3 linked regions of the Macaca mulatta genome follow. The protein of the gene in region 3 purifies or fractionates together with the protein of the main gene of each other region. This does not show direct contact. Links are inferred from orthologs where the notes say so. Each region holds a gene or a part of one and is shown on either strand. Other genes may lie near its edges.

Region 1 (3,651 bases), on a different chromosome or scaffold from region 3:
TATTAGCACATTACCTTCAGTCATTTTTCCCTATGAATATATAGTTCTTAAAATATCCTTCTTCTAAGCTGTAGAGTCATTTGAGGGACTAGTTTGCTCCGATTAGTTACCTTGTCTTTTCATTTCAAAGATCTTCCAAGCACAGCCACTTCCGTGAACATCCCTGACCTGCTTCCTGGCCGAAAATACATTGTAAATGTCTATGAGATATCTGAGGATGGGGAGCAGAGTTTGATCCTGTCTACTTCACAAACAACAGGTACCTGTGTGCTACATAATGTTAAAAGAATCTTTTTCTGTAAAACACAGGCCTGTAGTAGCACTTCCTGACTGTTTGCCCCACTTTCTTTCTTTCTTAGCGCCCGATGCCCCTCCTGACCCGACTGTGGACCAAGTTGATGACACCTCAATTGTTGTTCGCTGGAGCAGACCCCAGGCTCCCATCACAGGTCAGCTGAGCCTCCCGCTCTTTGGCTGCTATGTTAATCTTAATGACATCAACAGGGAGGGCGCAGATTCTGACTGTGGATCTGCATATCACTTTAAATCTCCAATATAATTTATGGGAGAGAGGTGTGTGTGTGTGTGTGTGTGTGTGTGTGTGTGTGTGTCGGGGGGAGTTATTTTCTATGGCACATTTCCCCTCGAAACCATTTTACCAACTCCCTTATACACACACACCACAACATACACACAACCTGTAAAGCCAGCTCATTGGCTTATTAAAGCAAGTGTTCCCAGGGTTGAAGAGGTGTAATTTTCCTGAAAACCTTGCTCTAAGATTTATCCTTAAGGAGAAAGCTGAGCTGCCTTCTTAGCTCATTAGGTGATTCAACTGCCTCATCACTGAAGTTCCAAAAAGACACACACAGTGCTAGACAACTCTGCTCAGGCTGGTTCATTAATTGCTTCCCTCATCTGGAGCTCAAAGAGGAAAAATCAGCTTAACATGAATATTTTCACCTAATGGCATCTCTAATTGACATTTATTAAGGATCTCAGGTCTTCAAGGATGACATTTATTATTAACAAGGTTTGCATGACTGTTCTTATTTTATCTTCGTGCTGAGTAGTCATTATTACAAGAAGTGGCAATATTAAAAGAGTCAAAAAGAATCACTGGCTCTTCACTAATCAAGCAAGATGCTAAGGAATATTCGAAAAGGGAGGATTTATGGTGTTTCTAAGCCTCGGTCTCAAAGAAAACAGTGCATCTTAACTTTTGTTGATCCATCTGCAGGGTACAGAATAGTCTATTCACCGTCAGTAGAAGGCAGCAGCACAGAACTCAACCTTCCTGAAACTGCAAACTCCGTCACCCTCAGTGACTTGCAACCTGGCGTTCAGTATAACATCACTATCTTTGCCGTGGAAGAAAATCAAGAAAGTACACCTGTTTTCATTCAACAAGAAACCACTGGCACCCCACGTTCAGGTAACTTTTTTAAGAAGACACTTCCTATGTTATGTTATCAAGATTGTTCCTGAGGGGGGGTGGTTTTGTCTCTGTCAATAGTTCCCACATTCAAATAATCTTATGCAATAGTTTTTCCCTAAACTTCTGATGTTTAGCTGAAATGTCATAAGTAACTTATCAAAGCTGGCTACTGGCCTTTCTTATTAAAAACCAACACCATAACGTCCGTCTACAAATTTTCTCCCAGAAGCTCAAGGGTCATTTCATCTTTGATTCTTAAGTATTATAAAATGATTCAGTAAAACAAAAACCATTACATTATTTTCTGCAGTTATTTCAAAGGTTTTTGTTTGTTTTGTTTTGTTTTTTAGTATCTTTTCTTATAATCCTCTCCCCTCACCATCATATGACACTTCATATGCTGGTAACTCATTTATTACCTAACTATTTTAGACAAAAGGTTCAAATGTCATAATTTAAGCACTATGACGGGGCCATGAAAATATGATCTGATTAAGAGACAAAACTTAGCAAAACTCTCGAATGAGAGGCTCAGTGAACTGCCTATCATATCCGAGAAACTGGCTTCTTAAAAATAATCTTCAGCAGAAAATGTGAATGACTGGTTGACTCTTGTCTGTCAGATACAGTGCCCTCTCCCAGGGACCTGCAGTTTGTGGAAGTGACAGACGTGAAGGTCACCATCATGTGGACACCGCCTGAGAGTGCAGTGACCGGCTACCGCGTGGATGTGATCCCCGTCAACCTGCCTGGGGAGCACGGGCAGAGGTTGCCCATCAGCAGGAACACCTTCGCAGAAGTCACCGGGCTGTCCCCTGGGGTCACCTATTACTTCAAAGTCTTTGCCGTGAACCACGGGAGGGAGAGCAAGCCTCTGACTGCCGAACAGACAACCAGTATGTCTTTTCCTATCTTTACCTCCCCTCCAAATTCTCCACCCTCACTTCCAGCCCGTGAGGAAGTGCAGCAAACCATTGACTCAGAGGTGTATGGCTTAGAGAGAGGGAAATACCCAGCTGGCAAGGGAATGCATAGTGAACACAAAGCACATTAAACTTGAAAACAAAACTCAAACAAGCTCCATGAGGCTAAGTGGTAACCCATTTCTAAAATACATGTATCAGCTGAAGGGTACTAAGAGGGAGAACTGAAGAGAATCTAATTTGAGTGCATTTTTCCTGTAACTAAATATATCTAGATCAAAGTTAAAATGCAGGATCGTAACACAGTAGAATTCATTTAAGAATAGCAATTGTCAAGTATCTAGTATTACTAGCCACCAGCTTATCTGCTCAGTTTTTACAAGCATTATTCTCATATTTACTCTCTGTTTTGACCTTAGGAAGGAAGGTCTTATTATTATTATTATTTTTTATTTTTTTGAGATGGAGTCTCGCTCTGTCGCCAGGGCTGGACAGTAGTGGCGCAGTCTCAGCTCACTGCAACCTCCACCTCCTGGGTTCAAGCGATTCTCTTGCCTCAGCCTCCCAAGTAGCTGGGACTACAGGCATGCGCTACCATGCCCTGCTAATTTTTGTATTTTTAGTAGAAACAGGTTTCACTATGTTGGCCAGGCTGGTCTCAAACTCCTGACCTCAAGTGATCCACCCACCTTGGCCTCCCAAAGTGCTAGGATTACAGGCATGAGCCATCGTGCCCAGCTGGAAGGTCTTACTAGTATCCATATTGAATACATAAAGAAACTGAGGCTTTAAAAAAATTCTGGAACTTGTAGGGTCACAGAGATAGGAATGGATAGAGCTGGCTCTATAACCTATGTCCAAAGCCCATGCTCTGAATTATTATACTTGACTGCCTCTTAAATATTTCCTCTATTTGAAATGTAATTTAAATTTCGGTGGGAAAACTGCTGGTTATTATTCTTAAGAATAAACTCCACAACTTATGTGATTCTGATAGTGCAAACTCACCAGTATCCTACCATGAATCTGAGGATATGTTATCATTACTGTAATTACTGTCTAATCTGAACCATGTGAAAATAACTTTTATTTCTCTAGCAGGGACTCTTCACAGAATATTGCTTCTGACCCATAGAGAGCTTCTTCTTGCTGTCATTTTAGGAGGCATATCCCTTTTTCCTTAATCTGTTTGGCTCAGAGCAACCTGTGAAGTTCAGAAGTGTTTGTTTTGCCTTTTTAAAAATACCATTGCTTTAATGTAACTATAATTTCTGAGAGTGATGGGAAGGT
Region 2 (3,651 bases), on a different chromosome or scaffold from region 3:
CCCTTCATCATAGATACAGAAACAGAAAAATAGAGTTTCTCTGGGTGTAAAACTATTTGCACATAAACCTTTGTTATCATCAAGAAAAACCAATTGGAATCTTTCAAATGGCAAAAACAGTAATTGTTGAAAGCAAAAGGTCACACTAGATTAGTTTTATTGAAAAAAAAAAAGAAGTGATAAAAGCTTATTTCTCCCTTTCTAAAACTAATTAAAGAAGCAGATGAAAGGACTTTGCTGTTGTAAACACACTGTTCATTGAAGCGGGCTTCCATTCAATTTCATGCTGGGCTTGCTTAATTATCGTACAAAACACAATAATGAGGTTAGTAAACTTGTATGAGCGTGAACATATGCATAAGTTGGGCTGTAGTTAAATTTTTGTTGAAAAAGTCAGAAAAATTTTGATGGAAATATATTATTACTTAGATGGATATGTCCCATGAAAGCCTATATTGCACCCAAATAAAGACTATCCTATTGCTTTATGTTTGTTCATATTTGCATTCAGATCATCTTTCAAGAAAAAAAAATTTCTAAACGTTTTAACAACATGTTGAAGGATAAATATTTTGCTGTTTCTAGTGACTGCAGCTATGAATAATTCAAGTCTTGAGCATTTTGCCTGTGTTATTATTTGAAGTAGAAATAACTGAAGGGACATAAAAAAGCTGCACTCTAGTCTTTATTATTCTGCCACTCTTTTGTCACTTGTCAATCACTTAACCTTTCTGGGTCTTAGTGTTCTTTGTTTGCAACAGGCTTGCTTTAGAAAAGATGACCTGTTATTCTCTATTAAATTATATTTAGAAGCTAATATGTTCCTAAGGTGGCAGATATCTAGTTCCATTTACAAATTAGCTTAGAGATGACCACACCCAGATACAAAATTCCAAGTATAACAAGGAAGTACAGAGATACAATTGATGCATTTACTTTCACAGCTCTTATGTTTTATCTTATAATGAGCACATTTAGGTAAAATGTCCGGGGAAACGTATAACATCAGCAAGATAATGCAGCACAGGGATCCTCTTTAATGGATTTGTGTCCCACATTTGCTACGTTTTAATACATACACAAGAAAGGGTTTTTAAATGGTTCATTAAAATGCAGTCCACGGTTATTCTTATCTTTTAGTTTTATGCCAAAAAGATTTGTTTTTCAGAGCTTATATATTTGCTGGTGTTGCATAAGATACAACGGCCAAGTACAACAATTGTATTCACATAGCTATGAAGTCAATTAAGTTTGAGCTGATGATTTAAGACAGTGTTTAAAGCATTTCTTACCTTAATTTCCAGTACATTTTCATTGCCCATTGAGATCATTACTGGCTTTTCAAAAGGCTTAAACACAGGATTATGTACATAAATGAGATCAAAGTATTTGGAAAGGATCCCATCTAACATGAAAAAGGCTTTGGTTTTCAGAGGGAGTTGCAGATTCAGCTGTTGCAGGGAAGGAGTGGTACAGCAGATTATCTCTGAATTAGAGCGATGCTGACATGCCTAGAGAAAGACACAATTATCCACTGTAAACAGAATACGGCTTGGCAACATCCACAGCAACTTTATAATTCACCACTCCAATCAATTGAAAATATAGAGTTTTTGAAAAAAATCTGTATTTAGCTTCTTAATGTTAGACTACACATTTCTGGAAACACGATACATGCAAAATTATCCAAACAACCCAGCCTTCAGAGAAACACAGACCTCCACCTGCCCAGCATAAACCATGCTGATGAATCTGAAGCTGGCCCTCATCCCATCATTTTATTTTCCTTAAGAAGACAGGACAGTCACCTGGAGGAATTGCCCCTTGTTGTGTGAGGCAGGCAGGCAGACTGGGAGCTGGGCTTTGTGGGGTTAGAAGGCTTTGGCTCCTCTCCTAGCTTTAACCCAAGCTATGGGAACAGAGGCAGGGCCCACACTAAATAACTCAGTTTCCTCATTTAGGAATTAAGATGAAAATGCTATTTACCACGTAGGATACCACATGGTAAAGTGCTTTGTAAAGTGCCAAGCACCATATGGTGAACATGATAATTAACTATGTAGTTAGGTAATCTTATTAGTGTGTTTTAAGCTATTAATTATTGAATGATAGGTTTTGTGCAAAATGCTTTACAAGGTTGGTCTCATTTAATTCTCATGATAATCCTATCAGTGGGTATTATGATTATGCACAGTTTACAAATTAAGAAACTGAGCTTTGCAAACTTATGTCATTAGACCAGGTCACACAGCTTGGAGTGGCGGAATAGCGAATATAAATCCTAGGCCATTAACTCCAAAATTCAATGTCTTCGCTCCCATGCTATTTTTTTGTCCATGACATATTTTATATTGAAACCTTTTCCTATGCTCTCTATTTTACAAAGCCTCTGCTATTATTATTTCATGCCCTTTCATGTCTCATTTCAAATCTTCCTCTTTGGAATTCTGATTTATGGAATTTTGGAAAATGTAGCTTCCTCTTGATTGTACTTAGACTAAACCAGCAACACACAGTGGTACATCTAAGGTTAACAGTTGCGTTTTTCCCCCAAGGAAAAGACAAACAAGCAACAACATCCCTTAGATTTCCTTTTCTTTGACAAGTATAGTTGGGGATAAAACAATCACTTATGCCCACAATACAAAAAGGACTCAGGATATACATAAAAAGGACAAACAGAATTTGTTATTTGCTATTCTCTTTAAAAAATAATTAAAAAAAGATCTTACATTAAAAATGTTTATCAGCAGCAGATAAAACTTTTAGAGACATAATATGGATAAAATTTTATTATTGAGTTTTATATAAAATTAATATTATAATGCTAAAAGCTATTTATTCCTAATGGACATGAACAATTTTACTGCCATCACAATAATTGTTTACATAACAAGGAATCTGAGAACTACACAATAAACTGCAGGCTTCTGGGGCGTAATGCACACGTTAACAAATTAATATACATTTTTTTATGAAGATGATTGTTTTTGTTTTGAAAGGATTAGAGTTTATTGGACTTAAAGTTATTGTGGCTGGACCTATATATCTAAATCAGACCTGACCAAGAGTTTTTATTTGTTAAATAATAAATGGGTTCAATTCATCATGGTCAGCTTTAAATCCTATAAGTGGCAGGGAACATGGAAGGAATACATATCTCTTTATAAAGTAGTTTTCACAAACGACAGTAAAACAAATAGCAAATAGTAAAATAGATCCACTGCATTTTTCACTCTTGTCCGATTCTAATGCATACTTCTACTGTACTAACATGTTTGTGGCTAAAACAACAGAAGTTTATATTTCCAGAAAAATAAACAAATAAGATGTTTATTGTCTGCCATTGTTTGAATCATCCTTGGGATATGCAACTCTTATGTGTGACACCTAAAAAGTTTTTAATAAATATTTGATTACAAATGAATGACTGAAGCTAAGAGGCATTCTGCGTGTCACCTTAATGCTAGTGAGGGAGAAGAAAGGAAATTCAGTCATTATCTTAATAATGTACGCTCAGCATTAATTCGATAAACTAATAATTTCTCAGATTTCTACTTTAAAAGGTCTCATACCAACACCAAAGAGGGTTACTGTTATTCTTATTTGGTTAATGAAAAATTGTTATGCTTAGTTGTGGAGAACTGATGT
Region 3 (3,751 bases):
AAGATAATATAATTGCTTAAGGCAAGGGCTGGCCATTTTCACTTCTTTTGTGGTAGAATGTCATCAGTTACTGCAAGGCAGGGCATTTGCACTTCTTTTGTGATTCTTCAGTTACTTCAGGCCATCTGGGCATACGTGCAAGTCACAGGGGATGCGATGGTTTGGCTTGGGCTCAGAGGCCTGACAGGTGCACAGAGCTAGGACCCCACCCCCTCCTGGCCTGGACCACCCTGGGCCATCTCCCCAGCTTGACACTCAGGCCAGAGGCTGTCAGGCCAGGGCGCTTTGACTATCCCCTGCATGCCCCTGAAGGGGGCCAAGCCCGAGGACTTAGCCAAGCCCTGCAACCTAAGGCTTGGCGTGCAGCCCAGCCTTTCCTTAGCCTTAGCTAGGAGCGAGCAAGCGCTGCAGCAGCCGCAGTCCTTGCTTCCGGGGAAGGCCCGGGTGGCGCCAGGGCCTGTGGTTTAAGTCGGTGGCCCTCTGCAGACGCGCACGCAGGAGCCACGCCCTGGTCCCTGCCCTGGAGTGGCCTGGTCTCTCCCAGCTCTGATTCCTTGAAGGACCCTGCACCTCCTCAGCCATCTTCTCTGGGCACCCCCTGAGCTCAGCCTGCTGGCCACAGGCCCCTTCCCGCCAACTCGTGGGCCTAGCTCATCATCAAACTATTTTCCATTGGCTTCCCCCAATCTCTGCCACAGCACAATTTCGGTGGTGGCGGGGCAGGGGGAGGTGGAGAGGGATGAAGAATAGGAGGTGGAGCTTGGACCCTCGTGGGGGGGCGGCAGATGGCCACTCTGATTGGTCACCTCTGCTCCAGAACTGGCTTCAAAATTCCACGGACTCCGCCCTCGGTGGCCCCCAGCCCTGTCCTGACTTGCAATTGGCTGAACTTCCAGGGGGCGGGGCTCACCCGGTCCGGTCCCGTTAAAAGGGTGGGAGCGTCCGGGGGCCCATCTCTCTCGGGTGGAGTCTTCTAACAGCTGGTGCGCCTCTCCTGGCAACATCCTCCTGGCCTCAATCATGGCTTGTGTGAGTGTGGGGACCCCACCCCAAGGTCCAGGGGATAGGGCAGGAGCTGATGGCCGGAGGAGAGCTGGGCAGATCGGGAGCAGGGTTCTAGCCCCAGCTGTGTGGCCTGGAACCACTGCCTTCTCTTTTCTAGACCTCAGTAGCCACATCTGTAAAATTGGGGTGGGCGCCATGGTCCCTCAAGGCCTTCTCTGCATTGATAATTGTTTGGATTCCTCCAGGGTCTGAAAGCACAGTTATTTCTGCCCAGGGTTGACATTCTGCAGCTCTCTGAGTAGTGAGCGTGGGAAGGGTGTGGCCAACTGGGGGACACCCAGGCCACTATATCTTTCCCCCTCCTCCACCCCAAAAAGCCTCCCGTCCCCTCCCCCCTGCAGCTGTCCCAGTCACCAGGCCCGGGCAGAGTCACCCTCTGCTCCAGAATACGCTGAAAAGTCGCCAGGACCCGAGACAGGCTGCCCAGGATGGGCCTTTCTAGGTCGGGGGTGGAGGGTGGTTGTGTCCAGGCTGGTGGGAGGGAGGGGAGCCGGGGAAATTCCCTTCCACCACCCCCAAGCTGGGAGGTTGGGGTGGCAGGGAGGTGAGAATCTTCCTCGGGCCCCAGGGAAAGGGTTCAAGTTTCTGACAGAAGAAACCACTCAAATCAGTTAACTCTTGCCCACCCACTCGGGGTGCCAGGGAGCAGCAGTGCGCAGCAGTTTTCTCAATCTTGTTAACCCTGAACCAGCCTGGCCACAGCCCGACTGCAGGCCACTCCCTAATGCAGAGGGGCCGTGTTCTTCAGGGTCTCCTCTCTAGCCCCTGGGCCTCTTCGCAGAGAGGAGCTTGAAGGAGAATAGTAGTGTCCCCCTAGCCACTTCCTCTCCAGCAGAGGGGTCGACCCCTGCATTCAGTGTGACTGTGGGCCAACTGCCTGCCCCTCCCCAGCCTGATCCTCTCTATCTGCGATGGGACAGAGCACCCCACCTCCCAAGCCACTCTTGAGTTCAAAATCCCCAGGCCAATCTGCAAAATCTTCTAGAGCCTGTCTTCTAGAACCTGATTCACATTACAGATTGAAGCCAACCCTGTTGGGAATAGGGACTTTTCCAGGACCACACAGAGAATCAGAGGCTAGAAATCACAGCCCCATCCTGTCCCCAGGCTTCCCCTTGGCTTGGTCAGAGGATGCCGGGCGGGAACAACCCCACTCCCACCCCCAGCCACCCCCGGACACTTCGGGTAGTGGAGGCCTTGTCCTCTAACCTGCTGGGCCGGGGCTTGTCTGTGCAGGGTCTGGTCGCCAGCAACCTGAATCTCAAACCTGGAGAGTGCCTCCGAGTGCGGGGCGAGGTGGCCCCCGACGCCAAGAGGTGAGAGGTGAAGTCAGGGTGGTGGGCGGCAGGGATGGGGGCTTGGTCCAGCCGAGAGGGCGTGGCCGGCCAAGTCCACGTCTCCTCCCTGGCCGAGAGTGGGTTAACGGCCGGCCGACGTTGCTGCGCTTTCTGGGTGACTCACTTCCCCCGCGGGGTCTGGGCGCCCCCACCATTGCCGCCCCCTCCCCCGCTCCCTCCCTGCTGTAGCCTCTTAAACTACAACAGCTGCAGCCTCGTCATCTATAATACCTTGGTTCCCCCGCCCCCACCCCTTTCCGGTCTGGGCGGGGCCTGCATCTGGGGAGGGCGGGGAGAAGAGTGAGGCGGGAGTCACCGCCGCCTTCCCTCTGAGTCCCTCCCTCCTGCGTCAGGTCATTCATTCACTGGCTCAGTCCTGTCCTTCTTCCTTCACTCCTCGTTCACTCAGCCGGCTGCCTTATTTTCTCAGCAGCTATGTGACCTTGGACCAGTCAACCAACCTCACCTAGCCTCATTTTGTTAGAAAAACAAGGGGGGGGAGGTGGTTGTGTGGAGGAAGTGAGATGCCGATGGTGTAGTGATGATGAGGAGGGTGAGGATCGGCTGATATTGTTAAGAGCTGATATTGTTAAGAGCCGTACACTTCTCATGCACTAATTTCATTGCAACCAAACCCTCAGAGGCAGGTATAGCTATTATCACCACTAAACAAATGCATTTATTATTTTATTTTTTGAGACGGAGTCTCACCCTGTCCTCCAGGCTGGAGTGCAATGGCTTGATCTCGGCTCACCACAACCTCCATCTCCTGGGTTCAAACGATTCTCCTGCCTCAGCCTCCCGAGTAGCTGGGACTACAGGTGCCTACCACCACGCCCAGCTACTTTTTGTACTTTTAGTAGAGATGGGGGTTCACCATGTTGGCCAGGCTGGTCTCGAACCCCTGACCTCATGATCTGCCCACCTCGGCCTCCCAAAGTGCTGGGGTTACAGGAGTGAGCCACCGTGCCCAGGAGTATTATTATTTGTTAATTCACCCCATAATTACTAAGCATCTCCTTCTGGTGTGCCCCACTTGTGCTGGGCACCAGGAACACAGATGTACAAGACAGGACGTGAAGTTGCCATCTGGAGGAAGTCTCTGACCTTGACCAAAAGGGCTAGGACGCTAGTGACTTCAAGAATCTAGCAAGTCCTCCTGTGCAGCCCCCATTGTACAGATGAGCAAACAGGCAAGGAGGGGCAGGGACTAGCTCACGTTCACACCGTAAGCAGCTGTCAGGGCCAGAGCTAGAATCCAGGTTTCTTGTCTCTGTTAGTGAGTTCTTCAAGCAAAGTGTGTTCGTGGAGTACTGAGTGACAGATTAGTCAGTCGGTGGGGCTGGAGC

Evidence for each region. Proteins that work in one complex are often made in the same cells at the same time.
Region 1: the proteins of LGALS1 (region 3) and FN1 purify together in Homo sapiens (affinity purification with mass spectrometry; 3 studies listed by BioGRID and IntAct, with this or other methods). This does not show direct contact. The link is inferred for Macaca mulatta from reciprocal best matches to the Homo sapiens genes LGALS1 and FN1.
Region 2: the proteins of LGALS1 (region 3) and MET purify together in Homo sapiens (affinity purification with mass spectrometry; 3 studies listed by BioGRID and IntAct, with this or other methods). This does not show direct contact. The link is inferred for Macaca mulatta from reciprocal best matches to the Homo sapiens genes LGALS1 and MET.

Annotation. Positions count from the first base shown.
Region 1 is NC_133417.1:120,611,974-120,615,624, reverse strand, and holds part of FN1 (fibronectin), read left to right. Parts: intron 1-130; coding exon 131-259; intron 260-359; coding exon 360-449; intron 450-1,240; coding exon 1,241-1,435; intron 1,436-2,061; coding exon 2,062-2,334; intron 2,335-3,651. UniProt on the Homo sapiens protein: Fibronectins bind cell surfaces and various compounds including collagen, fibrin, heparin, DNA, and actin. Fibronectins are involved in cell adhesion, cell motility, opsonization, wound healing, and maintenance of cell shape.
Region 2 is NC_133408.1:156,310,865-156,314,515, reverse strand, and holds part of MET (hepatocyte growth factor receptor), read right to left. Parts: intron 1,512-3,651; coding exon 1,293-1,511; intron 1-1,292. UniProt on the Homo sapiens protein: Receptor tyrosine kinase that transduces signals from the extracellular matrix into the cytoplasm by binding to hepatocyte growth factor/HGF ligand. Regulates many physiological processes including proliferation, scattering, morphogenesis and survival.
Region 3 is NC_133415.1:13,851,711-13,855,461, reverse strand, and holds the start of LGALS1 (galectin-1), read left to right. Parts: upstream 1-960; 5' UTR 961-1,020; coding exon 1,021-1,029; intron 1,030-2,301; coding exon 2,302-2,381; intron 2,382-3,751. UniProt on the Homo sapiens protein: Lectin that binds beta-galactoside and a wide array of complex carbohydrates. Plays a role in regulating apoptosis, cell proliferation and cell differentiation. Inhibits CD45 protein phosphatase activity and therefore the dephosphorylation of Lyn kinase.